Linked DNA regions of Rattus norvegicus. The protein of the gene in region 3 interacts with the protein of the main gene of each other region in a pairwise test. Links are inferred from orthologs where the notes say so. Each region holds a gene or a part of one and is shown on either strand. Other genes may lie near its edges.

Region 1 (5,026 bases), on a different chromosome or scaffold from region 3:
ACCAGAGAAGCAGCTGAGCTTGTGGGCAGGCATAAGATAAACAGGCTGAGCAATAAGACCAGGAACCTAAGGCTGGAGAGATGGCTCAGTGGTGAAGAGCACTGACTGCTCTTCCAGAGGTCCTGAGTTCAATTCCCAGCTACCACATGGTGGCTCACAACCATCTGTAATGAGATCTGATGCCCTCTTCTGGTGTGTCTGAAGACAGCGGTGGTATACTCACATACATAAAATAAATAATTCTAAAAAAAAAAAAGTTCCTCACATGTCTGTTGAAGACAGCACTACACACAAATTCTCTTAAAGCCATTTGAGACAGTTCATTTTTAATGTTTTCTTAAAAAAATACAAAGGAAATTAACTCTATCAGCAAACACAATTCAGGGAGAGAGGAAAAGTGGGATTCCAGAGCAAAAGGCAAGTGCAGCCCAGTTCCGGCTCCCACACTCTCCTATTTGCTATACCAGTAACTGCAGAATTCACCATGACAGAGGAGCCAGAATGGCAGCTCGGGAACATTGGCAGAGGTGCGGAAACTAACAAAAGATTTTCAATTGTCCTTGATTATTTTGTTCCAGGATGAATAAAATACACTGTAATGACAAGTACAGAAGATATAGCAGGAAGAGAACTGAACGTACCACACAGCAGTATTAAACACTCCTCAGTGGAAGTGCGCCCTTAAAACAACAGGGCAGTAATCAGTACCTGAACTACTAGGCTGCAGCAACCCCACCCATCCCCAAATAAATAGTGTGGAGGCGAAGTAACGTGGTAGCACTTGATTCACCAGGAAGATGGTCTTTTCACCCACATAAGACAAATACTGCCACGGCTATGGGAGCCCTGGCAGGGACTAAGATGATTGTAAAATCACAGATATTTCTAGTTTACCACAGGTATGTTGAACTCTGCACATTTACAGCATTTCTTATTCTAACCTTTTCCACTGTTAATCTCTCAGTCTCCAGTGCCAACCAAGATGGTGCAACATTTTACATTAGAAAGACCATGGAGTCAGATAATATGTCCTTGCCAGCCTTCCAGTTCACACTTCAGTGATTTTCTGGGTTCACCCACATTCCATTCAGCTCCTGCCACTTACTCAAATCTCTGTGCCAACTATGTCTCCCTAAGTGAGAACAGCACGAATCTTCCTTCTTGGCCTCTCAAATGTTGACAGTGATCTCTTGGTTTCCTACAGAAAGGAACTGTGGTGCCTCGAGCTACCTCTGTATTTAGAAAAGATATTTTTGCTTCTGAGTGGAGAAAAGACTTTCATTTTACCAAGCTTATATAAACTGATATCCTTCCAATCACACAGGATGGACACTGCCCACATCTAGTAGGCCATACTCACCTTAATTCTCTGCAATATACGAGGCACAACACATACACACACACACACACACACACACACACACACACACACACACATTCTCCCAAGCACATGGTAAGTTACAAACAGAAGAAAGTGCTCCTCAGACCACAGAGAGCCATGATCTGTGTCTCTGATCCGTGTGTGCATTCTCTTCCCTTGAGGACCTGTTCCCCGTGCGTCTGAGCAGGATGGCCAGTGAGAAGGAGCATGTGCGTCAAATAAGTACAATCATCACAGCACTGGTGCCTGTAATCGCCCTGTGCACACAGTGAGAAGTGAACATTCTGGAAAGGATCCTTCATTCTCCCACAAACTGTTCCCAGCTGGTGTCCAAATAACAGTTACTTTTCTCGGAGAACACACACACCAGCGTCACAACGCTGGGTTCCCATGGAGGCCACTACTTCCCAGCTGTCGATGATAGGGTCATAACACTCAATGCTGCTCAGCAGAGAATTCCCATCGTATCTGACAGGGGAAAAAACAAAAGAAAGAAATGAGGTCTCCAGCCATTTATACACAAGTCCTATCACCTGGGCAAGGGTCCACGCCCCGCACTGGGCCGGGAATGGAAATAGCCCCAGTGGTTGTTCCCACAACACACATTACGCCTCCATCCTGAATGGATTCTTGCCTTGGATACATGGCTCTGGCCCACTTTCAAACTCCTCACCCTGCGATTGCATAGAGTCTCCCTCGAAGCACTGTGGCCCCTACATAGCATCGTGGTGTGGTCATACTTGTGACAGTTGTCCAGGAATCCGTGCGAATGTTATAAGCTTCAACAGAAGAAAGGTGGGCTGTACCATCGAACCCTCCCACCACATAAATATGGTCATTCAGTAGGGCTACTCCAGCACCTGGGGAAAAGAGAGCATTGGCAAATGAAGGTCAGTAAGTCTAGCATCTGATCCCAGTAACTCACTACTGGCTGAGTTGTGGAGATGAGGGACGCAGACGTGTCACACAGGCTTAGAACACTTTAATACAGCAAATGTTAGTGCGCACACTGGCCAACCCTTAGGCTAGGACCTGGAATTCTAGTGGAGGACTGACATGGTTCTCATCTTTGTTTTCATTAACTCACAGACTCCCTCTTCAGCTGGCTAAACAGAAAGCAGGAGGAAAGGTGTTGGTAAGGATGAGAGGAGCAAAGGAGGATGGCCATGGCTCTGCTGTGACCTCTGTCAGAGGCAGTTAGCTGGAACAGCACGTTGTCTGCTCTTTGTTACATCACAGCCTATCCCACTAAGAGTTCTCAGCTGTCATTCAGATGGACCTCTATGACAGTACTTGCCTAGTATATGCAAGGCCCTGTGAGCAGTCCTCAGAATTTTTTTTTTAAATTATTTTTAGGCACTAGAGGTTTTATGTAATACTCATTGCTATTTATTATCAGGTATATGTCACATGTCTGCAATCCCAGGATTCCTTGGAGTCTAAAGTTAATGTGAGCTACATACAGTGAGATCTTAGGTTTAAAAAAAAACCAAAAAACCAAAAAACCAATGTAGTGGTATAACTTGAAGCCAGAAGCAGAAGGATCACCTCATAGCAACTTGTACATGACCAGGACTGCATGGTAGGACCCTCAAGACAAAGTCTAGCCAGGTTGGCAGTGGATGCCTTTAATCCCAGCACTCAGGAGGCAGAAGCAGGTGTATGTGGATCTCTGTGAGCTCAAGGCCATCTTGGTCTACAGAGTGAGTTCCAGGACAGCCAGGGCTACATAGGGAAATTCTGTCTTTAAAAAAGCCAAACATCAAAGTTCAAAGAGTAAAAGAAGAATACACAGACCTCAACAGGACAAAAACACTTACTTAATATGTACTACACAGATAAATTAGGTTAGGTGGGGTTGGGGATTTAGCTCAGTGGTAGAGCGCTTGCCTAGGAAGCACAAGGCCCTGGGTTCAGTCATCAGCTCCGAAAAAAAAAAAAAATTAGGTTAGGTGGTCAGAACTACAACAGGAGGAAAGTACTGACGAATAAGAAATCAGGGGCTGGGGATTTAGCTCAGTGGTAGAGCGCTTACCTAGGAAGCGCAAGGCCCTGGGTTCGGTCCCCAGCTCCAAAAAAAAGAACCAAAAAAAAAAAAAAAAAGAAATCACTGCCCTCAAATGTACAATCTGCCTCAAAGTTCATACTGCCTTCATCATATTGTAGGGAAGGCGGAGGTGAAGGAGGCCGGACTGTGACTCCAGTTTACGTTGAGTCTAGGGTGAAGTACAAACTCCAGTTCTATCCCACTGATACCACACCCAGAACTACACTGTCATTGTACACATCCCGAGACTGACAGCACTTCTGTCACATCATAGATTTGACTTGGTCTTACCAGAACGCTTGGTGGCCATAGGCGTAACATTAGTCCAGTGTCCTGTATGGGGATCATATTTCTCAACTGAATTTAATATATTCAAGCCATCATATCCTCCTGAAAGACAAAATGGAGAACATTCCAAAAAGAAATGTAGATTCTCAGGCTCATTTTAATTTTAGTTGGCCTGTGAAAAATTCAATTGATTCAGTTCTATTTTTTCCAGGTCGGAGAATATGCAACATCCTGCACATTGCTTACAAGAAAAATATAATCCTATTCATGGACAATACATTGAGATAAATCAGAGTTTTTGTTTGATGTGAGTATATACACATAATTTTGGTAAAAGTGATGCCCTCTGGAGTCCACTAAGCTGGCCCAGCCCCACCCCAGGCTCATACCTAGACAGTAGATTATGCCGCTGGCCACCACTAGTCCCGCGCCCTCTCGAGCTGTCTGCATATCTCCCAGCATACTCCACTGGTCAATGTTTGGGTCATACCGCTCCATACTTGTATGACGCCTGCTTCCATCAAAGCCTCCAGAAACGTAAATCATATCTGCTCAGAGTGAACAAATTATAGACTGTTAAATTAAGAAGGAAAAACTTCTAGGACTTTTTTCTCTACAAATCACTGACTGTTAAGATGCGAGGAGGAGATGCACACATGAGTGTAATTACCTCACTCAGGAGATTCAGGAGGAGCTTCAGGAGTTCAAGGCCACTGTGACCAGAGACAAATTCAATGCCAGCCTGAGCTATTTGAGAACTTGTCTCAAGCAAACAAATTCTTATTCTTTCTTCAAGTTGATTTTTATTATTGTTCTTAAATTTCCCACTGTGTATATTAACTGTATATGGTAGTGTGTGTGTAAAAGTATATTTTGTACTCTGAGCATTTTCCCCTTAGATGATAAGTCACTCAAGTCTCGGAAGAAGAAAGGCAGTACAAACAAGCATTTAAAGCTCATTCATGCCTTTATGTACACCCGAGTTTCAGACAAGCTACACAGGGAAATTTACTGAACTCCATCTCAAGAAAATAAAAATTCTTAAGAGATCCGGGTGGTGGTGCATACTTTAAATGTCAGCACTCTGGAGGCAGGGGGAGGTGGATCCGAGTTCAAGGTCAGCCTGGCCTACAAAGGGAATTTAAGGGCAACCATGGCTATATAGAGAAACCCTGTCTTGAAAGACAAAACAAAATGAACTACAAAAAGAAATACTTAAAGGCACTGACGACTGTCCACATGGAATTTATAAACTATGACCAGTGCCCATGACCGTACAGCACAATTGAGCTCAGACATCGGTCATGCTC
Region 2 (6,254 bases), on a different chromosome or scaffold from region 3:
TGTTTTAGAAGCTTGAAGAAATTCACGATACTGCCTCCCTAGTTATGGGGACAAGGAAAGCGCCTATGAAAGGTTAAGTGGCTTAAAGAGAATTACAAAATCCACAGATTGCTGTCTGCCCCTCAGGAATGATAGAATCAGACCTGATTCGTGAACATTGTTCCAGCAGCCATGTGAGAGAGAAAAGAAGTTACCTATAGTAAGGCTGAGGAATGAGGAAAATTGGCTATGGTATGACTTCCTTCTTCTGTTATGACTTAGCTACTGTCATCCTCGTCCCTGGCTACACGGACTTCACTGAGAGACGGAAAAAGGTCAGTTTTTGCTCCATCCTGCTCAGTAACACACATGGCCACTTGGGCCAGGTCAACTCTTGACGGAGAATGGTGACTTACTGACACGAGTTCAACAGCTGAGCTAAACTGAACAACTGTTAGAAGCAAAGAAATGTTGCAAAGAAAGTAAACCTCACCGAACCCTATGCTCAATGCCGTTTGTCAAATAACTAAGTGTCTAAGTTTTTTTCTACAGTCTTTAGCATCTCATTGTTACCTACATAATGGTTTAAGCTGGCATACAATACTGAGGGAACGGAGGTGGAAGCACGTGACCGCTGAAGCAGACAAGGCCGGTGGTTTGTGAAAAGCAGCCTCATTACTCTATAGTTATACCTTATAATAACCAGGCGTGAGTCACCCCAAGCTGGATCCATCACACCTAAAATAAAAGAGCATGACACAATACTTGTCCTTCTTGATGATCACCTCAATGGAGCCCCATTTCCCTTCCATGCGGCGTCTGGATCGATCATCCAAGAAATTACCTTAACACCTTCTATGTCTGCATTTTCTAAAGCAGTGGCATTGTGCATTTGAGCCACCTGTCAAGCCTATTATCTTGATTTTTTTTTGGTGGGTTTAAGCAGTTTATGTAAGTCGTTCCATCTAGCTTAATGACACAAATTATTATTATGCTTTGCAACATTATTTTGAATTGAAAGGTTAACATTTTTTTTTTTTTAACACTGGTTTCAAGTTTAAGAGCGTCTCAAACAAAGCTGGAAGAAAAGTCCATTTTGTCCCTTTCCTTAAGGAGCACATTCTCATTCCTAAAGTTTTACGGTGTGCCTCCTGGGGTGCTCATAGCACATGGGTGCTCAGAGCACCTGCTCGAATAATGAACAGTGATAGCAGGCCAACTCTGGGTGCAGTTGGGTGATGCAGAGGTCACCGGAGTCTCTCAAAGTGCCTAGACAAGTACTGTGCAGGCTCATTTTTCTCTGCTATCCCCTTAAATGCTCTTATTCCTAGACTCTAGTCACGTCTTCACACATCACCCACTGTGTCCATACAGTTCCTCATGTACTATCCCTTTATTGCTATAATAAGTGTTGTTTTGATTCTGACTTTTTGCCTAGTATCTGTTTACTCCCATGCTGTCTATTGGCCACTTCCATTCCTGTGTCAGATCCACCTTAACACAAGCTCCAGGCTGACCTCATTGCTGTCTCTCATCCCTGATCTTGAGGGATGTCTGCCCAGTTATGGAGCCTTCTCAATGAGCTAATGTCAAGAACCAGGTTCCACCATTTCCACCTCATCAAAGCAATCAATTCTTAATGATTCTACCACTACCAACACACCTACAAGTTAGCTGCTTCTCTTAATGGGACCACTTCCTCAATGGTAACATAATCCAGCAGAAACACCCTTAAGCACCAACAGTTCTCTAAGGTAACTAACTCTCCTCCAGGTTACTGAATTCTAAACATGTAATTTTTCTTAAATCTGTTAAGTGGTTGCCTGCTGTCTACTAACATCCTAACACTTTGTTTTTGCTTGTAAGGTCCTTCTGTCACAGGAAATCTATTGTGCCATGGATACCTTGGAGAACGCATTTGTATGCATAGTGGGGAAGAGCTTGGATAACCTACATTAGCTCTTGGTTTCTCCCTCTGTGAAGTGAGAATAGCATCAGCTATCTCACAGTAGTGGTTATTAAAGGAAAAAAATACAATGTTTGACATAGTATCAGGTATGTGGGTTACATAGTAAAAGTTAAGATACTTTGAATTATCTTTTTAGTTAATTTCTCATTTCTCTCAGGTTAGCTGATGGTTAGCTCTTCTATTTTCTCTTCCTTTCTATATCTGCTCCCTTTCCCTGCAGGTTCCCTGCCCTCTCACATTTTTTTTTGTCACCCCCCCCCCCCGCCCCCATCCCAGGAGCTGAGGACTAAACCCAGGGCCTTGCGCTTGCTAGACAAGCATTCTACCACTGAGCTAAATCCCCAACCCCTCTCATATTTCTTTAGCTCTCATCTGGAACATCCGTGGTTTGTCCTCTCTGAATCCTGTTAGGTGTCCTAACTGTTTTTGCTTGCCGCACCATTAGTTCCACTTTCTGCAAATTCCTCCTGTTCCCTGTTGAGTCCTAAGAGAGCAAGGGTGTCGTCTATCATGCTCGCCACCACACACATAATAAAGAACATACAGTCATCTCTCTTCTCACAGTTCCAGGTGTGCTCCTTTGCAAAGTGCAGAAATTAGGAAAGCAGCCCCACCCCCACCCTGCAACCGCTGGCTCTAGAATAAAGTTCAGAAAAGGCTGCCACAGAACAAAACCAGGGGTCAAACAGTAGCGGGAAGAGGTAGTTTTTTAAGCAAAGTTGGGGCTTCATAAATATTTTCAGGGCCTTTCCTACAGTACTATGCATTGTGAATCTTGGAGATGTAAGGTGGGTATATCTCTTAAAAACACCTGCCCGATATTAGGGTTTTTGCAGAAACACATTCTGACAAGGCCGGCTTGGGGAAGTTCTTGAGGCTCCCCAGTAAACTGGAGCAGCAAACAAAAACATCCCCGGAGCCCAGTGTGCCGTGTCTAGGTTAGAAACCTCTGAACACCAAAGTGGAACCTACAAAAGAATCTTTGATACAATTCAAGGAAGCGCCTTCTTGAAACTAAGAGGGAAACTGAGGCCCCAGAAGGGCACAGAAACCGGCCTACAGCTACACTGTAACTAAAGGCTGGAAGAGCTAGGACAAGCCCCAGGTGCACTTCTTGACTGGATGACTTTCACTACAATGTACCACCTGGATTCGCCAAAAGTTCACACTTCGAATTTTATTTTGAAATTCAGTGAAAGTTACAGTCTTACGGGCAACTTGTCCCCTTAGGCCTACAGTTCTCATTGTCACCAACTCTCTTGTCCCTCTTACAATACACTTTCCCTGTAATCCTGTGCAGTTTGGGCTTGCACAAGAATGACAGAGATGATCTTTCCCAGCCCTCTTTGAACTTGTAGTGTAAACTTTTTCATGTAAATCAACCGATTCTAAATTTTCAGGCCTTCGCCTGAATCCCCAAGTGCTCCCTGCCACCCCCGGTCCTGGACTCCCCTGCTCGCCTCATTCCTCTGGAGTGAGAGAGCCCTGCGGTTGATCTTCACCTGGGACTGCCATAATGCAGGTGAGTGGGGTCACCGGAGTCCTGAGCTTTCGAGATCGCGTTTCGTTCAGGTCCTTAGCGAGGACAACGCACTAGCAGAGGGATCTCTCCCACCCGGTCACTACAACTTCACAGGGCAGGAGAAGGCCGGATGCACATCCAGGGTTGGCGGAACTAAGAAGCTGCGGACCCAGTTTCCAGGGGTGTCCTACCGCGGAGCACACGTGGTCTGAACCATTTCGGCCAGCTTCCGGAGGTGAGTGCTATCTGCAAACACCGGACCTGGACGCAGCACCCGGATTTACGGATTGGCCGTTTAGCTAGTATTATGAATGACACGACAAATTCTCTAAAGTTGCAGAGGTCTTATAGTCTTTTCTAGTTTCCTGAAGAACAGGGACATCCCCCCTCCCGGAGTTAGCGGTGCTGCGATCCGGGAGCAACATGGCGACGTCCATGAGGGGATAGTTTGGGGGAGTAGCTAGTGCTTAGTACGGTTGTCCTGTCTAACTCTGACCGAGTAAAGTTTTCCCCAAGTACCCAGGTAAAGAATTGTCTACTAACAGGTGGGCATCGTCAGAGACCCGCCATTCGCTCGCGGCCACACTAAGGAACGGAGTCTTGAGCAGTGAGCAAGATGAGTAACATCTACATCCAGGAGCCGCCCACGAATGGGAAGGTGAGAGCCTCTACCACCTGGACATCCTAATTAAGAGCAACCTGATTGGGGGTGGCAAGGGAGTTGAAAGACCAAAAGGACTGCCCTCCACATCATGCTTATGGCCACTGTTGCATTTATACTATTTACAGTGACATGTCTCAGCGTATTTTTGAGAGTTATTGAGCAACTTCTCTATTCGCTAGTCTTCTGACCCCTTAACTTCCTTGATCCAACTCACGTGAGCGCCTTCTAGTGTCTGTTGTTTTTAAGACTTACGTTAAGATTGTTCATTTTTTTAGTTGTTTAACTTGGAGGTCGCGCATTCTCTACCATCATTTATTGAAGGCCTCCTTGGCACAACGCACTCTACTAGGTGCTGATGATACAAAGCAAGGTTGGTGTGCTACACACACACACCCCCACCCACACACACACACAAATATATATATATACATATATATATATACATACATATATATACACATATATACATATATACATATATACATATATATGTATATATATATACACACACATATATATATATGGCTAGCTGCTAATTCCCTATTTCAAAATTACAGGCGTGCATCGACACACCTGCCTTTGGTTGGGAAGAATTGAAGAAGATTATATTGCCATGATAGTAAGGCGGAGTGAAAAACAGGAAATGATGGGGAAAACATCTTGGAGGACATATCTTTTGAGATAATTGTCAGAGGCAGCGGGGGAGTGAGGAATATTACTGGGTAGGAATGGGAATCGATTCCCTGATAGGTTTCATACCGAGCTATATTTCTAGAGGACAATATTAATTTTAACTAATAAATGCTCGTAGAGATAAAATAGACTGACCATTTATTCCCCAATGCAGGACCTTAACTTTTGCTGTTCATTTCTCTAGTATGCTATTTTATCTGTTCAAACGTCACTCTTAACAAAGAGGCCTATAAAATAGCAAATCTCAGTGATGCCCTGGGTCTCAACAATTTCCAAGTATTTAATAGTATATTACTTTTGTTTCTTTCCTATATAGAATGCAAACACTATCAGTGAAGATAAACATCTAGAAACAGTGATTCTCTACCTGTGGTTTGTGACCACTTTGGTCAAATAACCCTTTTACAGGGGTTGAATATCCGACATCCGACATATCAGATATTCATGTTAGGATTTATAACAGCAGCAATATTACAGTTATGAGATAGCAATGGAAATAATTTTATGATTGAGGGTCATTACAACATGAGGGATTGTATTAAAAGGTCACAGAATTAGGAATTGAGAGCCACTGACCTAGAACATTGCTTCACATACACTGTGGAGTTCATGCACTATGAAAGAATAGCTAGGCAGATGAATTAATACTATGTTTTCTTTAGCTTCTGAGAGGTATTGAGCATAAGTAAGGGTGAATCATGCCCAGACTTAGTTGTTTGACACTTTTAAGAAATAAAAGAGGGTTTCATATGAGTCTTTAGCTATGCTGGAACTGGTTGTTTACTGTAGGAAATGATTTGACACATTCATAGAGTAAAAGCATTTCTGAACAGGAGCTCATTCCTTCAACAAATATTTTTAAATTGTGTATATATACATGAGGTGTGTGTGTGTGTGTGTGTGTGTGTGTGTGTGTGTGTGTGTGTGTGTGTGTGTCTTGTTTTGAAGAGTTAAAATAAAAACTTCATAAAAACTGCAAAAGAACAGCAGATAAGGGGACAGGACAGAGCTGGCCTGAGATGTGCCCGGCCAAGCCTAAAAACAAGGTCAAGGGATTGTTCCAGGAAGGGGGCCATCCGGACGTATGACTCCCTGCTCTACAGATAAAGATAAGACGTTCTCCTATATTGAGAACACCCCAGCCCGCACGTACTGCTTGCAGATGAGACCTTGTACCCATTTCCCTTGCTGATAACCATGCGAAACCCCCTGGCTTCTCCTATATAAACCCCTGCCTGAAGAGGCTCGGGGCCGATTCCTCTGTCTCCTGTGTGAGATAAGTGTCGGTCTGGGATCTCGTTAATAAACGCTACCTCTTGCTGTTACATCAAGACCGGCTACTCGCGTTTCTTGGGGGCACCTCAACCCATGACTGGAGCGAGGGTCTCCCCAAGTTTGGGGGTCTTTCAGTTTCATGGTTGTCCCAC
Region 3 (6,312 bases):
GCAACACAGTAAACTTGAGGCCATCCTAGGCTAAGTGTGAAATACCGTCTCAAAAATAAAGTGTAGAGAGGGGGTAAGGTGAGAGAGGAACAGAGACAACTATGTATGGCTTGTTGCAATGTGCTTGATTTATTCATCTTTTTTTCTCTTCACAGACAGGGTCTCATAATCCAGGGTGGCTTCAAACTCCCTGTGTAGTCAAGGATGACTTTGAACTCGTGATCCTACCTACAAAGTGCTGGGATTACAGGCTTGGCTCCTATATGTAGCTTTTTTCCCTTTCTTTTCTTTTTCATGATAGATAGGTAAATCCCTTTATTTTCACGATTCCTTCCCTAAAATAAACACTACCTTGTTAGGAAACAAGTTCTTACTGTGTAGTCCAGATTTCTGTGTATTCTGGTAGTCCAGGTTGGCCCCAACTTGAAATCCTCCTGTCTCTCAGGTGTGTGAGCATTAGAGGACAGTTTTCAGGGAACTGTTCTCTCCTATCTTGTGGGTCCTGGGATTTCACTGAGGTTGTCTGTGGCAGTCTGCTGGGCTGCCACCATCCTCTTCCTTTTGTGGTTTGTGGGGGTGTTTTGTTTTGTTTTGTTTTTGAGACAGGGTTTCTCTGTGTAGATCTGGCTATCCTGGAACTTGCTCTGTAGACCAGGCTGACCTCAAACTCACAGAGCTCTGCCTGTACCACTACCACCTAGCTACCTGCTGGGCCATCTTGCTTTCAGGAGAAACTTTACACTCTAGTTCTGCTCAGCTGGCTTGTGTTTTCCATGACAGTCCTTCTGCCCCCTATCCACAGGAGGGAACTAAAAGATTGCAGAAGTTCAGAATGTGTGTGAGGTGGCACAGCTTTTAAGTAACAGATGAAAGGGTTTTTACCATTAGATGTTGATGGGGGCTAGAGTGATGGCTTAGCAGTTAAGAGCAACCATTGCATTTCCAGAAGACCTAGATTTACTTTCCAGTACCCACAAGACAGCTCGTAACTATTTATAATTCCAGTCTCAGGGGAATCTGGTGCCCTCTTCTGACTCCTGAGGGTGCTGCATGCGCATGGTGCACAGGACATACACGTAGCCAAAACCCCCATAACACATAAGATAAAATATTTTAAAAGATATTTATGGGTTGGGCATATAGCTACATTGCAGACTCTTGGCTTCGCATGTTTTGAACTCCACCTGTTAGAACTAGATGTGCTGAAGCACGAGTTTGTAATCTTTACCTTAAAAAAAAAAAAAACTCTTTTGAGAGTTGTGGCTTGCTCTTGTTATTCTTGCACGGGAGAGAGGCAGATAAGGGATGACTGCCTTCCCTCCAAGGTCAACCTGAGTCATACAGGAAGACTCTGTCTCAAAACAACAAAACCAAAAGTGAAGTTATTCACCCGGAACAATGGCATGAGACTATAACCACGGCATCTGTTGGACACATTGAGACCCCCTCTCTTACCTATCTTTCTACAAAAGAGAACCACGGGGCTGGAGAGATGGCTCAGTGGTTAAGAGCACTGACTGCTCTTCCAGAGGTCCTGAGTTCAGATCCCAGCAACCACATGGTGGCTCACAACCATCTGTAATGAGAACTGATGCCCTCTTCTGGTGTGTCTGAAAACAGCTACAGTGTACTCATATATAATAAATAAATAAATCTTTAAAAAAAAAAAAAGAGAACCACGGGCTGTGGTTATAGAAGCTGGCAGCATTGAGACCTGGGGCTAGGACTTAGCAGCACTTCCTCCTTTTGTTCTCTGAGGTCTTGTTTTTTTGTTGTTTTTGTTTTTGGAAACAGAGGGTTCCTCTGTGTGGCTCTGGCTGTCCTGGAACTCACTATGTCGACCAGGTTGTCCTCAAACCCAGAGATTCACCTGCCTCAGCTCCTGAGTGCAGGGGTTAAAGACATATGCCACCAGCACAGGGCTCTCTGAGGTCTTATATCGGGTTGGCTGGCCTCAAATTCCCTAAGAAGCTAACATTGCCCTTGAATTCTGATTCTCCTCCTCCACTTCCCAAGTGCTAGGTTACAGACAAGGCTACCTTAAAACAAACAAACAAAACACCTAATGTACTCACTGACCTGTAACCGCAACGCAATGATAGGGACTGGAGAGATGTCTCAACAGTTAAAAAGCGTTTGCTTCTCATGCGAAGTGTTTGAGTTCAGTCCCCAGCATCCACATGGCTGCTCATCAGCAACTCTGACTCCAGGGGCTTTGAAGACCTCCGCTGTCATTCAGCAGGCACTTGGTGCACATACATTGGGGCAAATCACTCATACTCATTTAAAAAAAAAATCTTAAAATTTAAACGAACAAAAGAAACTGAGAGTTTATCTCGTTGGCTCGGGGTCTCTGCTTGGAGCTAGCCCTGCCCCGCTCCCGCCCTAAGGAGCACTTCCGCTGTGTCTGTTATTTCACCAGTTATGTATTTCACAACGCAAGGCTTTTTTTTCCAAAAGGCTCCGCCCGGCGTCTAGCGCAAACGTTTCCTCCTTGTTTGGACCACAGCGATTGACAAGTCAGTTCTCCAATCATCATGCCGAGTGACCACATAATTATCTAGGTCACCGGGGCGGTGCGGAAGCATAGAATGAATAGGGGTGACCAGGAAGTGTGTGATCCCAGACTGGGAAGGAGGACGGGAAGAGGACCAGCGATCTTGGGAAGGTGACAGGGCATCTGGCCTCCCAAATTCCCTTCTTTCCTCTTAGCTGGGCCAGGGATCCATTTATACCTGAGAACTAGGAACTCCCTTTGCCCTTTCTTTGGGGTGTGTGTGTTTTGTCCTTATCTTAGCGTTTTGGGTTCCTTTTTTTTTTTTTTTTTTTTTTTTCTCCACTGGGGCGAGCAGGGAGTTTAGGGTTTAGGTCCTATCTCTCACACTACGGATGCTTAAGGCCTCCGGTCCCTTTCTAGGGAGAGGGAAATGAGACGCCTACATCCAGGTGAGATAGTGAAAGTGGGAGGGGCCCCAGGAAGAGAGTTTCTGTGGTTTAGACCCTGCGCTAATGTAGGCTAGGAGGGCGCTGGAGAGAGGAAGGAAACTTTTTTTCTGTTTTGTTTTGGTTTTCAACACAGGGTAGCTCTGGCTGTCCTGTAACTCTCTTTAGACCAGGCTGGTCTCTAACTCAGAGATCCACTTGCCTCTGCCTCCAGAGTGCTGCCCATTTTAAAGTGGAGGTTGCGGTAGTTTTATCAGTGAGAGCCTTCGTAAGGCGGAGGCTGTAGGGTGGGGCTCGGGCTCTAGAAAATCCGCTTCCCTTCCTGGGAGCTTCAGATTTTTGTCTGTTTTACTTCGTAGGATTGAACTAACTTGTGGACATGTGGAATCCTAGTGCTGGTAAGTAACTGGGGGGCTCTCCTCTGACCCCGCCCCAGCCCATTTTGCAACGAAACGGGATTTTTCTGTATCCTGCAACCCCCAGCAAAAACAAAGTCACGGGACCACTGCTAGCTACCGAGTTCTGCCTTTCCGTAGGGCTTAAGAATGGTGGTGACTGGGTTGGGGATTTAGCTCAGTGGTAGAGCGCTTGCCTAGGAAGCGCAAGGCCCTGGGTTCGGTCCCCAGCTCCGAAAAAAAGAACAAAAAAAAAAAAAAAAAAAAGAATGGTGGTGACTTGTGTTACTCGTTGATAGAGGTTTGCACCGTTCTAATCTTTATTCTCCAATTCTTCCTCTAGGGCCAAATCCATATCCACCCCAAGTTGTGTGTCCAGGAGGTTCCAATCCTGCCTGCCCACCATCCCAAAATCCTGCCTTTCCTCCTGGCCCCTGTCCTCCCGGAATTCCTCAGGGAAACCCAGCTTTCCCTCCGTGTCGACCTCCTTATCCTGTACCGCAACCAGGGTGTCCAGGATACCAACCCTCAGGTCCCTACCCTCCCCCGTACCCACCAGCTGCTCCTGGCATGTGCCCCGTGAATCCTCCGGCTCCTGGCATGGTAGGCCCAGGAATAGTGATAGACAAGAAGACTAGGAAGAAAATGAAGAAAGCTCACAAGAAATCACACAAGCATCATAAGCACGGGAAGGTCAGTGTCCTCTGGAGCCTGGCTGGGGAAGGAGCTCCCTTCAGAGGGACCGGGGTGATCAGGAGTTGGGGATGGGCATTCTCGGTTTGTGGGGCGTGGGAGGAGGACGGCAATCCTGTCCTTTTGGCAGGTGGTTTTCCTTTACGTAAAGAGATCCTCCTTTAAGGAGTTTAGTAATATTGAGGCATTCGACCACTCCCATCTGCAAAGGAAAAGTGAAGTGGGGGCGGATATCAGAGCCAAAAGCCCTCTCCCTTCTCTCCCTCTATCCCTGTAACTCCCCGCCTTGACCCACCCTAGGTGTATCTTTTGGTAAGTTGGACACACCCATTAAGGTTGTCTAAATGTCAAAAGAGTTCTTTGACAAAGTGCAATGACGCATAATAGTTTGCGGGGTGGCGGTCTGACCCTAGTTCCTGGATTTCCTTTATCTCCTTCGGCGTTCTCAGGTGCTGAGTTAATTCCCTGGGTGGGTCTTCTGTGACTCAGCAGCCTTCTGCAAAGCCTGGGGTGAAAGGGCATTTTCCTTCACAAGACCTGTATCCCTTCCTTCCACAGGGACGCTAATTATTGTTAGTGAGGGAAGGAGTTTCCCTGAGGACTTGGGAAAAGCATCAGTCTAATCTTGAAGCTTTAGTTAGATTTTTATGCCAAATGTTTGCTTGTGGGTCTGGACTCTAGTTCCTGATTCTGGGTCTTAGGTAGAGATGTGGGGAGTGGGGAAGGAAAGGAGACACTGAATGAGGGAGAGAACCCTGAGAGCCTAAACTTTTTTTTTCTAAGATTTATTTATTTATTTCATGTATGTGAGTACACTGTGGCTATCTTCAGACACACCAGAAGAGGGCATCGGATCTGCATTACTGATGGTTGTGAGCCACCATGTGGCTGCTGGGATTTGAACTCAGGACCTCTGGAAGAGAGTAGTCAGTGCTCTTAACCGCTGAGCCGTCTCTCCAGCCCCAACACGAAACTCTTAAGGGCTAGGATTCTGGTAGCAGGTGTTTTTTTTACAGTAGCTGACGGAGGTATGTCTGTGTGGGGTTTCTCCAGCCATCTGTCTGTCTCTGCCATCTTCCCCACTTTTTCCCCTAGTGGGACTTGGAGGAAGTACAGCATCACACACACACACACACACACACACACACACACACACACACACACACACACACGGTGGCTGGCTGTTCCTACCCTCTCTGAGGTGCAGAGAGTCTCGTTTGTCATTCTTTAAGCTAATGAGTAGGGACTTACAAAGTTGCAGCTGCTTCCCGCATCCATGCTGTGTTTGTTCTTCATTCCTGGCCCTGGCTAGGTGTGGAAAGTATAAACTTGGTCAGAAGGCAATGTGTTCAGTTCTGTGCAATGACTGAGGACAATTTAATCCATTCTTGTATGTTCACTGCTGAAGGAAACCCTTGATTTTGTTGGTTATGGGACAGGACGGTATGAGACTCCTGACTACTGGATACTTGGGTGGATGGGTGGGGCACCAAAGAATGGACCTTGGAGTGACCAGAGGCCATCTGGATCTGATGATGTGTCCTTTCCCCTTGCAGCACTCCTCCTCCTCTTCCTCCTCCTCCTCCTCCAGCAGTGACTCTGACTGAACACAGGGCCTGGAGCCTCCTCCCCTCAAGCCTCACCAGCTCCAGTCTCCCACCAAGCTTCACCTGTCATCTTGTACTGAGGGGAAATTAGCGCCCCGCCCCACTCCTTCCTGTGCCTTCTCCCCGCTGTTGGGGAAGATGACTGCCGAGGGGTAGCAAAAGCTACCTTCTCCCTGCTTGATATTACCGTAGCTTATGAGGTGGGGGGGGGCACTGTCTTTTAAGATATGCACCATGTGATTTTTCTTTTGTAACTTGGGTTTGTGACAATTTGTGATGAGAAACCTGTACTTTTGTAATGGCGACACACGAGAGCGATTTGGTAGCAACCGTATTCCCGGCCTTACTGATCACAGTAACTGTTGAGCCACTGGGAAGTGCAGTCCCTTTCTTTACTTGATGAGCTCTTTTGGAACCCAATTTCTTCCTCAGTTCAGTATGTTGTCTCAGATGGCTCTGAGGACCAAATAAACGCTACTCTCCCAGCTTCTGCTCACCATTACCTTAACTGGGCTCAACACCATGGCCTAGTTTCGTTGCTCTTGGTCATACACCTTAAAGTATGTCACTTTTTTTATTCCTCTGAGAGTCTCACATCACCTAGACTTCAATATGTGTGTGAGTGTGTGTGTGTGTGTGTGTGTGTGTGTGTGTGTGTGTGTGACTTTGATACA
Region 4 (5,740 bases), on a different chromosome or scaffold from region 3:
TTACGCATGAGCTCTTCTACAGTTCATTCCACAAGTGTTAGGCAAAGTGCTTACGGGCTGGTGGACTTCCCCGGAGCTCTGTCCCTGCCTCTGGTCTCTCCACTACGACATTTCCTCCTAGGTTCTGCTGTCTCCCAAACGTCCATCTCTAGCCTTGGTCTGCACTAGGCCTTGCATATGCGTCCCGCAGTTGCTCCTCCCCACCCCCCGGGTGACTAGACTGGGTGACTGGAAAGCCTGCTTGCATGGGTACGAGGTGGAGGAGTCACCTCTACCCCATCATTTCCCTCCTTGCATCCCTGGTTTGAGCTAAAGTTTTGCAGTCTTGAAAAGCTCTCAGTGTTTACTGGAGTTATAGGTGTAAGCCACCCAATGCCTTATCATAACAAGTTACAGAATCAACTCAATATGAACACATTCCTTTTCCTACTTGACTGATTACACCCCTGCCATTGACTCTTAAGACATGGCTAAGCAGCAGGCTTAAATTCCCTCTAATGTCCTCCCCACTGGTACAGCAAGCCCATGAAACAACTTCCTCCTTACCAGTGGTCCAGTCGGGGCACCAAAGGGGCCAGTAGCAGGATAGGCCCCAGGAGCACTGGGGTAGGCCCCAGGAGCACTGGGGTAGGCTCCAGGTCCCCCAGGTTGCCCTGGGAAGGCTCCGGGGGCAGTTGGGCCAGGATAAGCTCCAGGGGCAGTTGGGCCAGGATAAGCACTAGGGCCAGTTGGGCCCGGATAGGCACTAGGAGGAGCCTGTCCAGGATAACCCCCTGGAGGAGCCTGTCCTGGGTAGGCCCCAGGATAGGAGGCCCCTGGGTAGCCTCCTGCCCCAGGCTGGTTCCCCCATGCACCAGGCCATCCTTGAGGGTTTGGGTTTCCAGAGCCAGCTAAGGCATCATTAAGCTGTAAAGAAAGACAAACAATTAGAGGATGGGACTCCTTCACCACGGGACTCCAGGCACTTGTGATCTAAGAAGCTGAGAGTACAGGAAAAAGATTCATATTCTTCCCTCGCCTTTTCTGCTGTTTTGTGTTGTATTTTATTCTGGTCTCTCATCTTCGTGGGTCGGGGTGGGTTAAGCTCTTCTGGTTTACACCAGGAACTGGCTGGCTATAAACACACGCTTTCTAGTCAACACGAGAGACAGCTGCAGGTGTTGGCATGAGCGCACCAAGTCACCGTCTCGCTGCTTCCAGGAGGGACATCTCCGCTGTGCAGGCCACACCTCTCCCTGTAATCTGCTGCTGGGAAAGCAAGCCTGCTGCTAACAGGCCTGAATGCACACGAGAGCCAGAGGGAGTTTCACAGTAGGAGGGTCAAAGGGAAAGCTCGGCTAAGAGAACACACATGAAATACTTACTGAGAAGCCGTCTGCCATTTTCCTAAGAGAGAAAAGCCAAAGGGGGTTATTAGTACTTGAGCCTAAAACATTTTACAAAATCTCACGAGATTAAACATAAATAGTTCATGGGCAATTCTGGTCAGTCTACAATCATTTCACCTAGATCAATGGCGCTGGATCATAAAAACATCTTGCGGACAGGCGGGATACAGTCTAGCTAAATTCCAAACCCACTCAGGTTCTGAAGTCAGACCTTGACGCCAGGAGCTTGTGCTCTGAGAGTAAAAGGCCTTGAGGGCTAAGGGGTAGGTTGAGAATTTCCTGTCTCTCCTCTCGGTGAAAGACGGTAAATTCTCTTGGCTCCCTGCTTCCCTGAGTTTTTCTACCCTTGCAAGGATACATGGGAAGTACAACCCTCCCTCCTCTCTTCCCAGCCACAGATTGGAGGAAATCCATCTGTCGGTTCCTACCGAGATCTCTAAGACAGCTGATATGGCTGCTGCCTGGTTAGTTACCCTCGCTTGGTGCACCCTGACGCCTGCTCTGAGCCATCGCTTTCCACACCATCCCAGGGCCCCCAGGGCCCCCAGGCCAGTGAGAGATATGAGACGCATGCACACCAGAGTGTGGTCGGTGCTGCTGGGACATTCAAACCTGAGAACTCACTTGTGAGCTGGGAAGGGCGTTGGTGGTGGACAGGCGGCATTTGGGAGTGTTTGGTTGGATTTCGAAGTATTGTAAGTATTAAGGTCTTTCTATGTAGTTCATCCTGACTTTGAACTTAGGATCCTCCTGCCTCAGCACCTCAAGTGTTGGCTGTGGTGCCTGTGGGTTTTTGCTGTTGTTTGTTTGTTTGTTTCCAACAACAAATAAAACAGCAGTAAAACAGCCAAGCAAAGGCCAGTCAGGCGGCCTGAGGCAGCTGCCTTCAAGATACTGCCAAACAGGTTTGCCTTACACGGATTGGTCACGGGGCTGGTTTGCAGACGTACCCTGTTTCCTCCAGCTCTTGCTCCTGTGCCACACCTATCAAACCACAGGATGCATGAAACCTGCCCCCCTTTTCAGCAGATTCCCTCAGAATGCAGCAGAGAGCAGCTGTGGTTTGGAAACGTTCCTTTCTTAGGGCGCTGGCGATTAAATTAACAGCAATTGGCATATTTGGCAAAGGCTAGCACTAAGGCACGAAACAATGCAAGCAGCCACAGGGAGGGCAGCTTTGGACGGGAATGAGATCGATCAGAGCTCAGAACGACTGCAGCCATCTTGCTGCCATGAGAATCACCTGAACATGGGGTTGGGGATTTAGCTCAGTGGTAGAGCGCTTGCCTAGCAAGCACAAGGCCCTGGGTTCGGTCCCCAGCTCCGGGAAAAAAAGGGGGAAAAAAAAAAAAAAAGAAAGAGAATCACCTGAACCTAATACATAATCAGACTCTCTTCTGACTTCATTTTGCCCATCTGTGATAGTTTACTCAGTTATCCCGAGAAATAACATGATTAGGTGAGCACCGTGTCCATCATGCCTGTGAGCGCAGCATTCTGTAGCCTGAGAGTTTGAGGTCAGCCTGGACCACATACCAAGCTCCAGGGTCTCATTCCAGCCTTGATCACTTACAGCAACCCCCCTTCCTCAGCCTCCCAGGGACTGGCATCAAAGGCAGGACCCGCAGTTCCTGGCTTCAGATTTTTTCTTAAGAAAATAAAGCCTAGGCTGGGCATAGTGGTACACAGCACCCAGAAGGCAGAGGCAGGCAGATTTCTGTGAGTTTGAGGCCAGTCTGGTTTACAGAGCGAGTTCCGGACCAGCCAACGCTACATTGTGAGATCCTGTTAGGAAGTGGTTTTGAAGCTCAAAGTGGACAGAGAACTTAGCACTTCTGATTAAACCTTTCCCCACCCCTTCAGCAATATCTCTGGCTTCAAGCCGTTAGATGCCGGTGGCACACTGCCCTGTAACTTGTGACAACCCAAAATGTTTTCAAAGGTGGGAAAAATCTCTAAGGCCAAAAATCACCTCTGGTTGAATTGAAGACTACCAATTCAGGCTGTCAGTGTCTATCCCTAGATAAACTTACATACAAGGGGCCATAAAAACCAACAAGGAATTTTAAAGTAGCGAAGGTTACCAGGGAGGATGGTCACCACCTGCCACCTCAAGTCTAGGGGGGGCTGAGGTAAGAGGAGCAGAAATGTGGAGCCTGTCTAAGCTGCACAAGCAGACAAACAAGAGCAATCCTCTGCTGGGCATGGTGCCACACACCTCTATCTTAGGCTGAGGCAGGAGGATTGACTTTACCGTTAACCTAGGCCACAGAGCAAGACTGTCTCTAAAAACTAACCAACGAGCACTTCCCCATAAAGAAACCCTTTTCCCCTCTTAAGTACGCTTCAGTTTTAGTTTGTTTTTTGTTTGTTTGTTTGTTTGTTTTTTTCTTGGAGCTGAGGACCAATATGCTTCAGTTTTGTTTTGTTTTGTTTTGTTTTGTTTTGATTCTTTTTTTCGGAGCTGGGGACCGAACCCAGGGCCTTGTGCTTCCTAGGCAAGCGCTCTACCACTGAGCTAAATCCCCAACCCCTGCTTCAATTTTAAGAGACTTGAAGATTTACAAGTTAAACTCTTAGGTCTGAAGGGTCAAATCACTGTTAAATAATATGTCACTCAAAAGAGCCTACATGGGAAAACAAACAAACAATCGAACTTTCCCATTCTCCTCAAAAGGTGCTCTATTAACAGAACACCAGTCAAATTCTGTTTAAAGAGTGATACATCTAGAAACGCTAAGAGATACTGTGCAAAGCCTCTGATCAAGGCTGGCTGGCTCCATCTTCCAATCTGACCAAATGAAATCCCAAAGGCAGCAGATTTCACTGTGACTCACGTGGGCCTTTGGATGATGTCAGGGTAACGACGCCCTCCCTGCACTGTGATTTTCAGTTCCCAGAGAACTTTCACTGAGCTGTTCTTTTGTTAGCAATCTGGTAACGCTGGCTGGAGAGAAAATATTCCCACTGTGAAGTGAGGAATCCGAGAGCTCATTCAGTGGCCCAAAGCATTGGCATCCTGGGGACAAGAGCCCAAGTTTCCTGACCCTAACTCAAGTCTGACCTATATTTGTTTAAAACTGTACATTTTTGATATTTTAAAATAGAATCCTTGGAACTTTTTAGTTACATCCCTGAAAATTCAGCTTGTTGGTTCACCCAGAGCGACACGACTGAAATAGTAAACAGATTTAAAATAAAAAGGAGCTCTGGGCAGACACTGACTCGTGAGTCATTCACTCAGTGACTCGTGAGTCATTCACTCAGTGAGTCAATACACGGGCTGCTGGGTATAGAATGCTTTTGCACACAGCCACATTGTTAAGAAAAACCACATTTTAACCAATACACTGCATTTTTCCAAAAAAAAAAGTATTCATTGTTTTTAGTTAGAATTTTCTTTACAGTATTTACTTCTCAAATATAGATTTTTTTTAAATTGAAGTGTATCTGTGTGTGTGTTTGTCTCTCTGTGTGTGTCTGTCTCTCTGTGTGTGTTTGTCTCTCTGTGTGTGTCTGTCTCTGTGTGTCTGAGGGGTGTGTGTCTGTCTGTCTCTCTGTGTGTGTCTGAGGGGTGTGTGTGTGTGTGTGTGTGTGTGTGTGTGTGTGGTGTTGTGAATGTGTGTGCAGTGTCTGTTGTAGCGAAGACTTAGATTTTGGCTACTGAGGGTGCTGGGCAAATAGGCACCCGAATCGTCAATAAGACTGACCTAGGACACGAGTTCACTGGCAAGAAGTAAGAAGCTTGTTTATTTATTTCAAGGCAGGTCTGTCTTACTCTTTGGCCCCGGCTGGCTTGGAATTCTACATGTAGTCTACACTGGCCTCGAACTTGAGATTCTTTGAGTTCTGCTTCCTGAATGTTGGGATTATAGGCGCTCACTCCCACACCCACCTGAGGAAAGGTTCTTTGGAAAGCATCTGTGCAGACCCAGGAGGCAGAGGCAGGTGGGTATCGTAAGTCCAGGCCTGCCTGATGTATGAAGTTCCAGCCAGTGCTACTTGTGAGACCCCCATCTTGAAAAATGATAAACCAACACTTTTGACCCAGTGAACTCTCTCACTGATTGAGAACCCTCGAGCCAATCCTCAAGCAATTCTCTACCCCTTCTGCTTTGTGTACAATTTAGTGAGCTGTCCATTAAACACTTCTAAGCATAGGCCTGAAAGACCCCATCAGAGTCCTCTCCAGAATATGGAATGAGTGCAGATTTCAAACCAAACTCCTAAACATTGTGAATTTAGGAAGCTAGTCCCCATCAAAGAGAAGTGTGACTATCTTAGGAAAAGAGTCTAGGGTAAAGATGGCCACATCTATAATCCCAGCACTCAGGAAACCATGGTAGAGAGAG
Region 5 (6,401 bases), on a different chromosome or scaffold from region 3:
ACTACAAAGAAAAAAGAGAACACAACAAACCTTGGAAGTTTTGTCTTGGGGCACTGTCTGACCTAAAAGAGCAGAAAGTATCAAGCAATGTTTACCGTAGTCTGCAAAGCTACTTAAGTGACCAATGCATGCAGCTTGGGGTTCAACAGAAGGAGCTGAGTCTTGCTCTTCTTTTCTTTCTTTTTTTTTTTTGGAGCTGGGGACTGAACCCAGGGCCTTGCGCTTGCTAGGCAAACGCTCTACCACTGAGCTAAATCCCCAACCCCGAGACTTGCTCTTCTTTTTTTTTTTTTTTTGGTTCTTTTTTTTTTTTCCGGAGCTGGGGACCGAACCCAGGGCCTTGCGCTTCCTAGGCAAGCGCTCTAACCACTGAGCTAAATCCCCAACCCTGGCCCGAGTCTTGCTCTTCTAAGCCCAGCACCGAATATCATGCTTATACTCCTCACTTTCATGCCGAAGTAGGAGGATGGCTCTGAGTTCAAAGTCAGCCTGAGCTGCAGAGCGACCCCGTGTTTCAGCAAAGCAAAACAAACAACAAAAATTCTAAGTTTTCCCATCCCAGCAATGATGTATTTGGACCAACATTTTTAGCTCAGAATATAAAGGATAATAAAGATTTTTATTTTCTTTGCAAAATGCTAGATATTAAACTCAGAGCCTCCTTCCTGAATTGTCTACTACTAAGGCAGACCTCTAACCTGTTAAAACACCTTTAAGGCTGGGAAATAGCTCAGGTGTTTGCTGTAAGCCCAAAGACCTGAGCTGCATCCCTAGGTCTGTGTAGTGGAAGGAGGAGAACTGACCCCAACAAGTTGTCCTCTACTCCTATACACGCGCAAATAAAAAAGGTTATTTGTTTGGTTGATTCTGCAGCTGTAGACCAGGCTGGCCTTGAACTCATAGATCTGCCTCTGCTATCACTTTTTTACTTACTCATGAAAAATGGTGGCAGTGCGATAACTCAGTGGGTTAAGGCACTTGCCACACGATACTAGGATTAAAAGTGTGAGCCACTACAACCACCTTGTACTTTAATAAAATAGTCCTTGAGCTTCCAAACAAACAAACAAACAAACAAACAAACAGAAAAACCCAAACTTTATCTATTAATAAATTTTATGAGTAAGACCCTTCTGCAATACAGGTCACATTTTTTGGAGCACCAAAGCACCACAAAGGGGAAATTTTAGACCTGTCACATAACAGGCTACAGTCCAAAACCAAGCATATTTAGAGTTGGAGAAACGGTTTAACAGTTAAGCACTTGCTGCTACTGCAAAGGATAAATGGTTTGGTTCCCAGATTCCATCCGGCGACTTATAACCATCTCTCCCTCCAGTTCCAAGGGGTCTGACACCCTCTTTTGACTTCCGAGGGCACCAGGGACACACATGCTGTAGAGATGACAAGCAGCCAAAGCACTCACACACATAAAATAGCTTTTAAAAAATGTTTCTAGGGGTTGGGGATTTAGCTCAGTGGTAGAGCGCTTGCCTAGCAAACGCAAGGCCCTGGGTTTGGTCCCCAGCTCCGAAAAAAAGAAAAAAAAAAATGTTTCTAAAGACTGGCACATAGAGAGGGATTGTCGGGCTTTGTGGTGAAACTTTTGCTTGGCGTACGTTACTCCTCGGTTCAGCCTTTGGAAATATTATATAAAGAAGAAAGTTAAGCTATTTTAAAGCTAGACACAGTGCACTCCTGTAATCCCAGGATCCTGAGGGGTGAGGCAGGACTGAGAACAGAGTGAAATGGAGATCTGTGGTAAACAAAACGGATGGGACAGGGAATATGATGGATGACCAGCCAGAAACCAAAAATACACAATGGAACTGTATACTAAATCTAAGAAAAATATTTAGCAAAGATGAAGATAAACCTGTTAAGAAAAGCAATACAGGCCTGGTGAGATGGCTCAGCGGTTAAGAGCACTGACTGCTCTCCCAGAGGTCCTGAGTTCAATTCCCAGCAATCACATGGTGACTCACAACCATCTGTAACAGGATCTGTTGCCTTCTTCTGGTGTGTGTGAATAAAGTGATTAAATAAATCTTAAAGAAAGGAAGAAAAAAAAAGAAAGAAAGAAAGAAAAGCAATACAAGTGTAGGCCTTTAATCCTACCACTCAGGAGGCTGAGGCAGGAGGATCTCTATGAGGTCAGCCTGGAGAAACCCTGTCTTGAAAAACCAAAAGGAGAAGCAATATGAAACAAGGAAAGACTCATGACTTTTTTTTTTAAAGATTTATTTATTTTATTTATATATTAGTACACTGTAGTTCTCTTCAGACACTTCAGAAGAGGGCATCAGATCCCATTACAGATGGTTGTGAGCCACCGTGTGGTTGCTGGGAATTGAACTCAGGACCTCTGGAAGAGCAGTCAGTGCTCTTAACCACTGAGCCACCTCTCCAGCCCGACTCATGACCTTTAAGTGGAAAACACTCCTTGTTTTTGTTTTTAAGACACGGTCTCTGTTGTCGACCTGGATGGCCTTGAATTCACAGTTCCACCTGCTTCTGCCTCCTGAGTGCTGGGCTTAAAAACGTAATCCACCAATATCTGGCCCAATATTCAGGTTTTTAATTAATAAATCATAGCTTAGGTCAGGAGCAAGAAAGTTCAAAGCATGCAGGTACTAGAGCCATAAACAGTGTTTTCCTTTCAGTTTCGTATGACTTTTGATAGGTTTCAGAAACACAACATGCCACCTCACAGGGCCATACAGAGTGGGTGTAACTGGAGGGTTTAGTTTTAAGATGAAGTCTTCCAGGCTGGACTCAAATTCACGTTCAATTACCCAGTCTCGGCCCCTTAAGTCGCTTACACCACTGAATGGGTAGCTACTGAGTTACTTTGTTTTTTCTTTTTGGAGACAAAGTCTTCCTATACAGTCGTGGCTAACCTGAAGTTTTGCTATGTAGACCAGGCTGGCTTTGACTCACAGTATTCCACCTGCTTTTGCTTCCCTAGCTCTGGGATTTAAAGGCATCTGCCACCAGGACTGATAGTTACTGAGATTCAAAAAAAAAGGTAAAAATATTTATTTAAGCTGGGCATGGTGGCACATGCCTTTAATCCCAGCACACAGAAGGCAGGCACCTATCTTGAGTTTGAGGTCAGCCTGGTCTACAGATATTCCAGGACAGCTAGGGCTACAAAGAGAAACCCTGTCCCTAAATCTCCCCCCACTTACCCCTAAATTCTAACAGACTCAAAGCAATTATACCACTGTCTATCTTTCCCCAAATCCTCAGGTGACTCTGTCCTTCCTATGGCTTTTAGTCTGTCTTCTTCAAATGTCACCCCTCCGCAGATGCGTTTCTAACCCAACTAACTTGAAACGGGCCTTTCCCTTTCCCCATTACAACCTCTTACTTCCTATAAAGCTTAATTTTGTTTTGTTTTTCGAGAGACAGGGCTTTTCTATGTACCCCTGGCTGTCTTGGAACTCACTCTGTAGACCAGGCTGGCTCCGAATTCAGAAATCCACTTGTCTCTGCCTCTTGACTGCTGGAAGCATCACCATCGTGGTGCTTCAACAAAGCTATTTAATCCACTAGCTGTACTTGTTTAGAGTACCAACAGGTTCCACAACAAAACTGTAAGCTGCGTGTCTTGAATACATTTTCTTCACACTGAAACTGTCAAGGAATGCTAGTACTAAAGTAATTACTGAGAAGACCGCAGAAAGTGAGACGGTAGATGGGAAATGAATAGGCATTTAAGTTAGGTTTGTTTCTAGGAAAGGCGATAAGAAGGAGGCGGGAAACGCAGCAGAGGGAAAAGTTTGGATCCTTGAAAGGGAAGATGTAGGACCGTGCATCCAGGCTACCCTTGACGTGTGGAACGGACAGAGGGACACAAACCACCCAGCGACCAGCTCTTGGATTCATTTCGGACTCCCTTCAGAACCCGCTCAGTCCCGCAACGGCACTGGCTACCGACCGGTGTCTGGACGCCCCCAGCCCTCCCGCAGACCCCACTACGCGTCTTACTCACGCTTGCCGCCGAGCTATAAGCCGATGCATGGGAGTCGCCATCTTGAAGCGGCCGGAGTCTGCCGCACGGGTTTTTGGGAAACTCAGACGGGTGGGCGGGCCCTTAACAACCTCTGAGGTTCTGGTCGGGGCCAGAGGAGCTCATCCCAGTAGAGGCGACTGGTGGCCTCTAGCTGGTTTGTTGTCTTTAATGCGGGTCTTGTGTTGAGTATGAATACGGCCTCGAAGGGTGATCGCAAACGAGGGATCTATATAGAGTAGGATTTTGTAGTATCAAAAATCCTGTAAGCATTTTGGAGACTGAGGCAAGAGGATTGCTACGTGTTCAAGGCCAACGTGGAAAAACATATAAGGCCCTAGCTCAAAAACAAAACAAAAAAGCCAGGCAATAATGGCCCGTATCTTTAATTCCAACACTTGCTGGGATTTACGGCCAGCCTCGCCTACACGGCAAGTTCCAGGAAAACTAAGGCTGCACGCAGAAACTCCGTCTTAAAAAGCAAAACACCAAAAGCCACAAGAAATTACAGGTGTCAACTTGATGACTGGATCACGCTGGTTTGTTTTGTTTTGTTTTTCCCTTCTGTGAAAGATCTGTGTAGAGGAGTTTTTAATCCAGCAATATGACTGTTCTGGAAAGGGATCATAACTGGCCGGAATACAGACACGTGTTCCAGGCCAGCATGGTACAGAGCAAGTTCCAGGTAAAGAAATTTAGAACCAGGTGTGGCAGCACATGCCTTTAATCCCAGCACTCAGGAGACAGAGGCATGCAGATCTCTGAGTTCTAGTCAGTTTGGTTGAATCAGTGGCTTGAGAGCAGGAGGGGTAGGGAGAGGGAAACAGAGACGGAGACAAGATGAGCGGGAGAGATGGAGAGACAGAGAGACAGAGACAGAGAGGGAGCGAGCAGTTTTACCAGGACAGTTTTACAGAGACAGGTTTCAGTCTGAAGACAGAATGAGTCAGAGAGAGAGAGGGACCAGAAGATTAGAACAGATTGCCAGAGTCAGTTTGAGGCCAAGTAGAGCAATTCTGTCAGAAGCTGAGAGAAGCAGGTTAATGCGTCAGCTCAGAGAGTTTAGGCTGAACCAACCAGCCAGAGTTCAGAAAGAACTAGAAAGGATGGGTTTATTCAGTAGCAAACCTCTGAGATGACAATTACATCTGGTGAATAAAAGATACATTCACAGCTCTGATGGGACCAGTATTGGCCTCACTGTTAGTATTATTAGATCTCTCTCTCTCTCTTTTAGATGTGTATGGATGTGTTGTCTGCGTGTACGAATGTGCTTGTGCGTCATATGCGCATGGCTGGTGCTGAGGGGGTCAGACCAGGGCAGTAGGTTACCTGCAACCAGAATTGTGGATGGTGTGCAGAGAACTGAACCCACATCCTCTTCAGGAGCAACGTGTGCTCTTAACCACTGACCCAGCTCTCTGCCCCCTATTTCTTTTTTTTTTTTTTATTTTTAAAGATAACATCTTTTTTCAGACAAAAAGAACCTTTATTCTTTGTGTAGCCTCATACTTTCTTGCCAGCTGCCTTCGGAGCAGGTGATTTCTGGGTTGGGGTCTTCTGACCTGCAGCCTTCTCCAGAGCAGCCTTCTGGGCTTCCGCTTTCTTGCCTGCTCCTGTTTGCCTTCTTGGCTGGGACCTTACTTTCAGCAGCTGCTGCCACTGCACCTCAGTGGCAGCCTTAGCGACAGCTGCTTTTTTTGGGAGACGCTTTCGGGATAGCAGCTCTTTGGAGTTTCTTTACTTCCTTCTTGATTATTCCGTTCCTCATTTTCTTTCCTTCATGACTTTGAACCGATCAAAATCTGTCACCTTGGCTTGGAATGGAAATTCTCTGGCATCAATTTTCTTGGTACATCTTGTGGCTGCCCATTTCGCATTGATATGGAAGATGGGAGAAAAGTTTCTCCCAAGCTTTTTGTACATACATCTGGTGGGCACTGTGTGGGAACTTGAGGGTGAAATCAGTGAGCTGCGTGCATTTGAAAGGGATGGCCTGTCTCCTCACCTGAGTGCAGGGTCCATCCACTAAAGCCCTGTCCTGATCAATAACCTCTACACCTGCAATGAGCTTTCCAGAATGGGGCCTAAAGGAAACGTAGGCCACCTGGCCAACCTCCATGAAACGCCTGAACACCATGTTGGCAGCGCTCAGCCAGAAAGAAGATAACATCTTTAATTTTCCAGGCTGGCCAGAAACTTAGCTCAGACTAGTCTAATTCCAAGTTTCTAACCTCAGGATTCAGGATGTAGAGAAAGGAGGACAAGGAGGTCAAGGCCAACCTGAGCTATATAGCAAACTTGAGGCCAGCCTGAGACCTTGCATTAACACAAAGTCTTTTTTTTTTTTTTTTTCTTTTTTGGGTTCTTTTTTTTTGAAGCTGGG

What was found.
Region 1: the proteins of Prr13 (region 3) and Klhl12 interact in binary tests that used the Homo sapiens proteins (3 or more experiments, as listed by UniProt). The two-hybrid records come from large-scale screens. The link is inferred for Rattus norvegicus from reciprocal best matches to the Homo sapiens genes PRR13 and KLHL12.
Region 2: the proteins of Prr13 (region 3) and Srek1ip1 interact in binary tests that used the Homo sapiens proteins (3 or more experiments, as listed by UniProt). The link is inferred for Rattus norvegicus from reciprocal best matches to the Homo sapiens genes PRR13 and SREK1IP1.
Region 4: the proteins of Prr13 (region 3) and Lgals3 interact in binary tests that used the Homo sapiens proteins (3 or more experiments, as listed by UniProt). The two-hybrid records come from large-scale screens. The link is inferred for Rattus norvegicus from reciprocal best matches to the Homo sapiens genes PRR13 and LGALS3.
Region 5: the proteins of Prr13 (region 3) and Zcchc10 interact in binary tests that used the Homo sapiens proteins (3 or more experiments, as listed by UniProt). The two-hybrid records come from large-scale screens. The link is inferred for Rattus norvegicus from reciprocal best matches to the Homo sapiens genes PRR13 and ZCCHC10.

Annotation. Positions count from the first base shown.
Region 1 is NC_086031.1:48,480,922-48,485,947, reverse strand, and holds the end of Klhl12 (kelch-like protein 12), read right to left. Parts: intron 4,265-5,026; coding exon 4,106-4,264; intron 3,819-4,105; coding exon 3,720-3,818; intron 2,242-3,719; coding exon 2,055-2,241; intron 1,850-2,054; coding exon 1,723-1,849; 3' UTR 1,613-1,722; downstream 1-1,612. UniProt on the Homo sapiens protein: Substrate-specific adapter of a BCR (BTB-CUL3-RBX1) E3 ubiquitin ligase complex that acts as a negative regulator of Wnt signaling pathway and ER-Golgi transport.
Region 2 is NC_086020.1:37,707,111-37,713,364, reverse strand, and holds the start of Srek1ip1 (protein SREK1IP1), read right to left. Parts: upstream 3,629-6,254; 5' UTR 3,464-3,628; coding exon 3,451-3,463; intron 1-3,450. Other genes in the region: spliceosome-associated protein CWC27 homolog, read left to right, coding at 4,087-4,128. UniProt on the Homo sapiens protein: Possible splicing regulator involved in the control of cellular survival.
Region 3 is NC_086025.1:135,468,437-135,474,748, forward strand, and holds Prr13 (proline-rich protein 13), read left to right. Parts: upstream 1-2,603; 5' UTR 2,604-2,668; intron 2,669-3,302; 5' UTR 3,303-3,322; coding exon 3,323-3,341; intron 3,342-3,681; coding exon 3,682-4,031; intron 4,032-5,587; coding exon 5,588-5,638; 3' UTR 5,639-5,908; downstream 5,909-6,312. UniProt on the Homo sapiens protein: Negatively regulates TSP1 expression at the level of transcription. This down-regulation was shown to reduce taxane-induced apoptosis.
Region 4 is NC_086033.1:23,101,481-23,107,220, reverse strand, and holds part of Lgals3 (galectin-3), read right to left. Parts: intron 1,387-5,740; 5' UTR 1,383-1,386; coding exon 1,365-1,382; intron 907-1,364; coding exon 547-906; intron 1-546. UniProt on the Homo sapiens protein: Galactose-specific lectin which binds IgE. May mediate with the alpha-3, beta-1 integrin the stimulation by CSPG4 of endothelial cells migration.
Region 5 is NC_086028.1:37,969,094-37,975,494, reverse strand, and holds the start of Zcchc10 (zinc finger CCHC domain-containing protein 10), read right to left. Parts: upstream 4,037-6,401; 5' UTR 4,027-4,036; coding exon 3,998-4,026; intron 2-3,997; coding exon 1-1.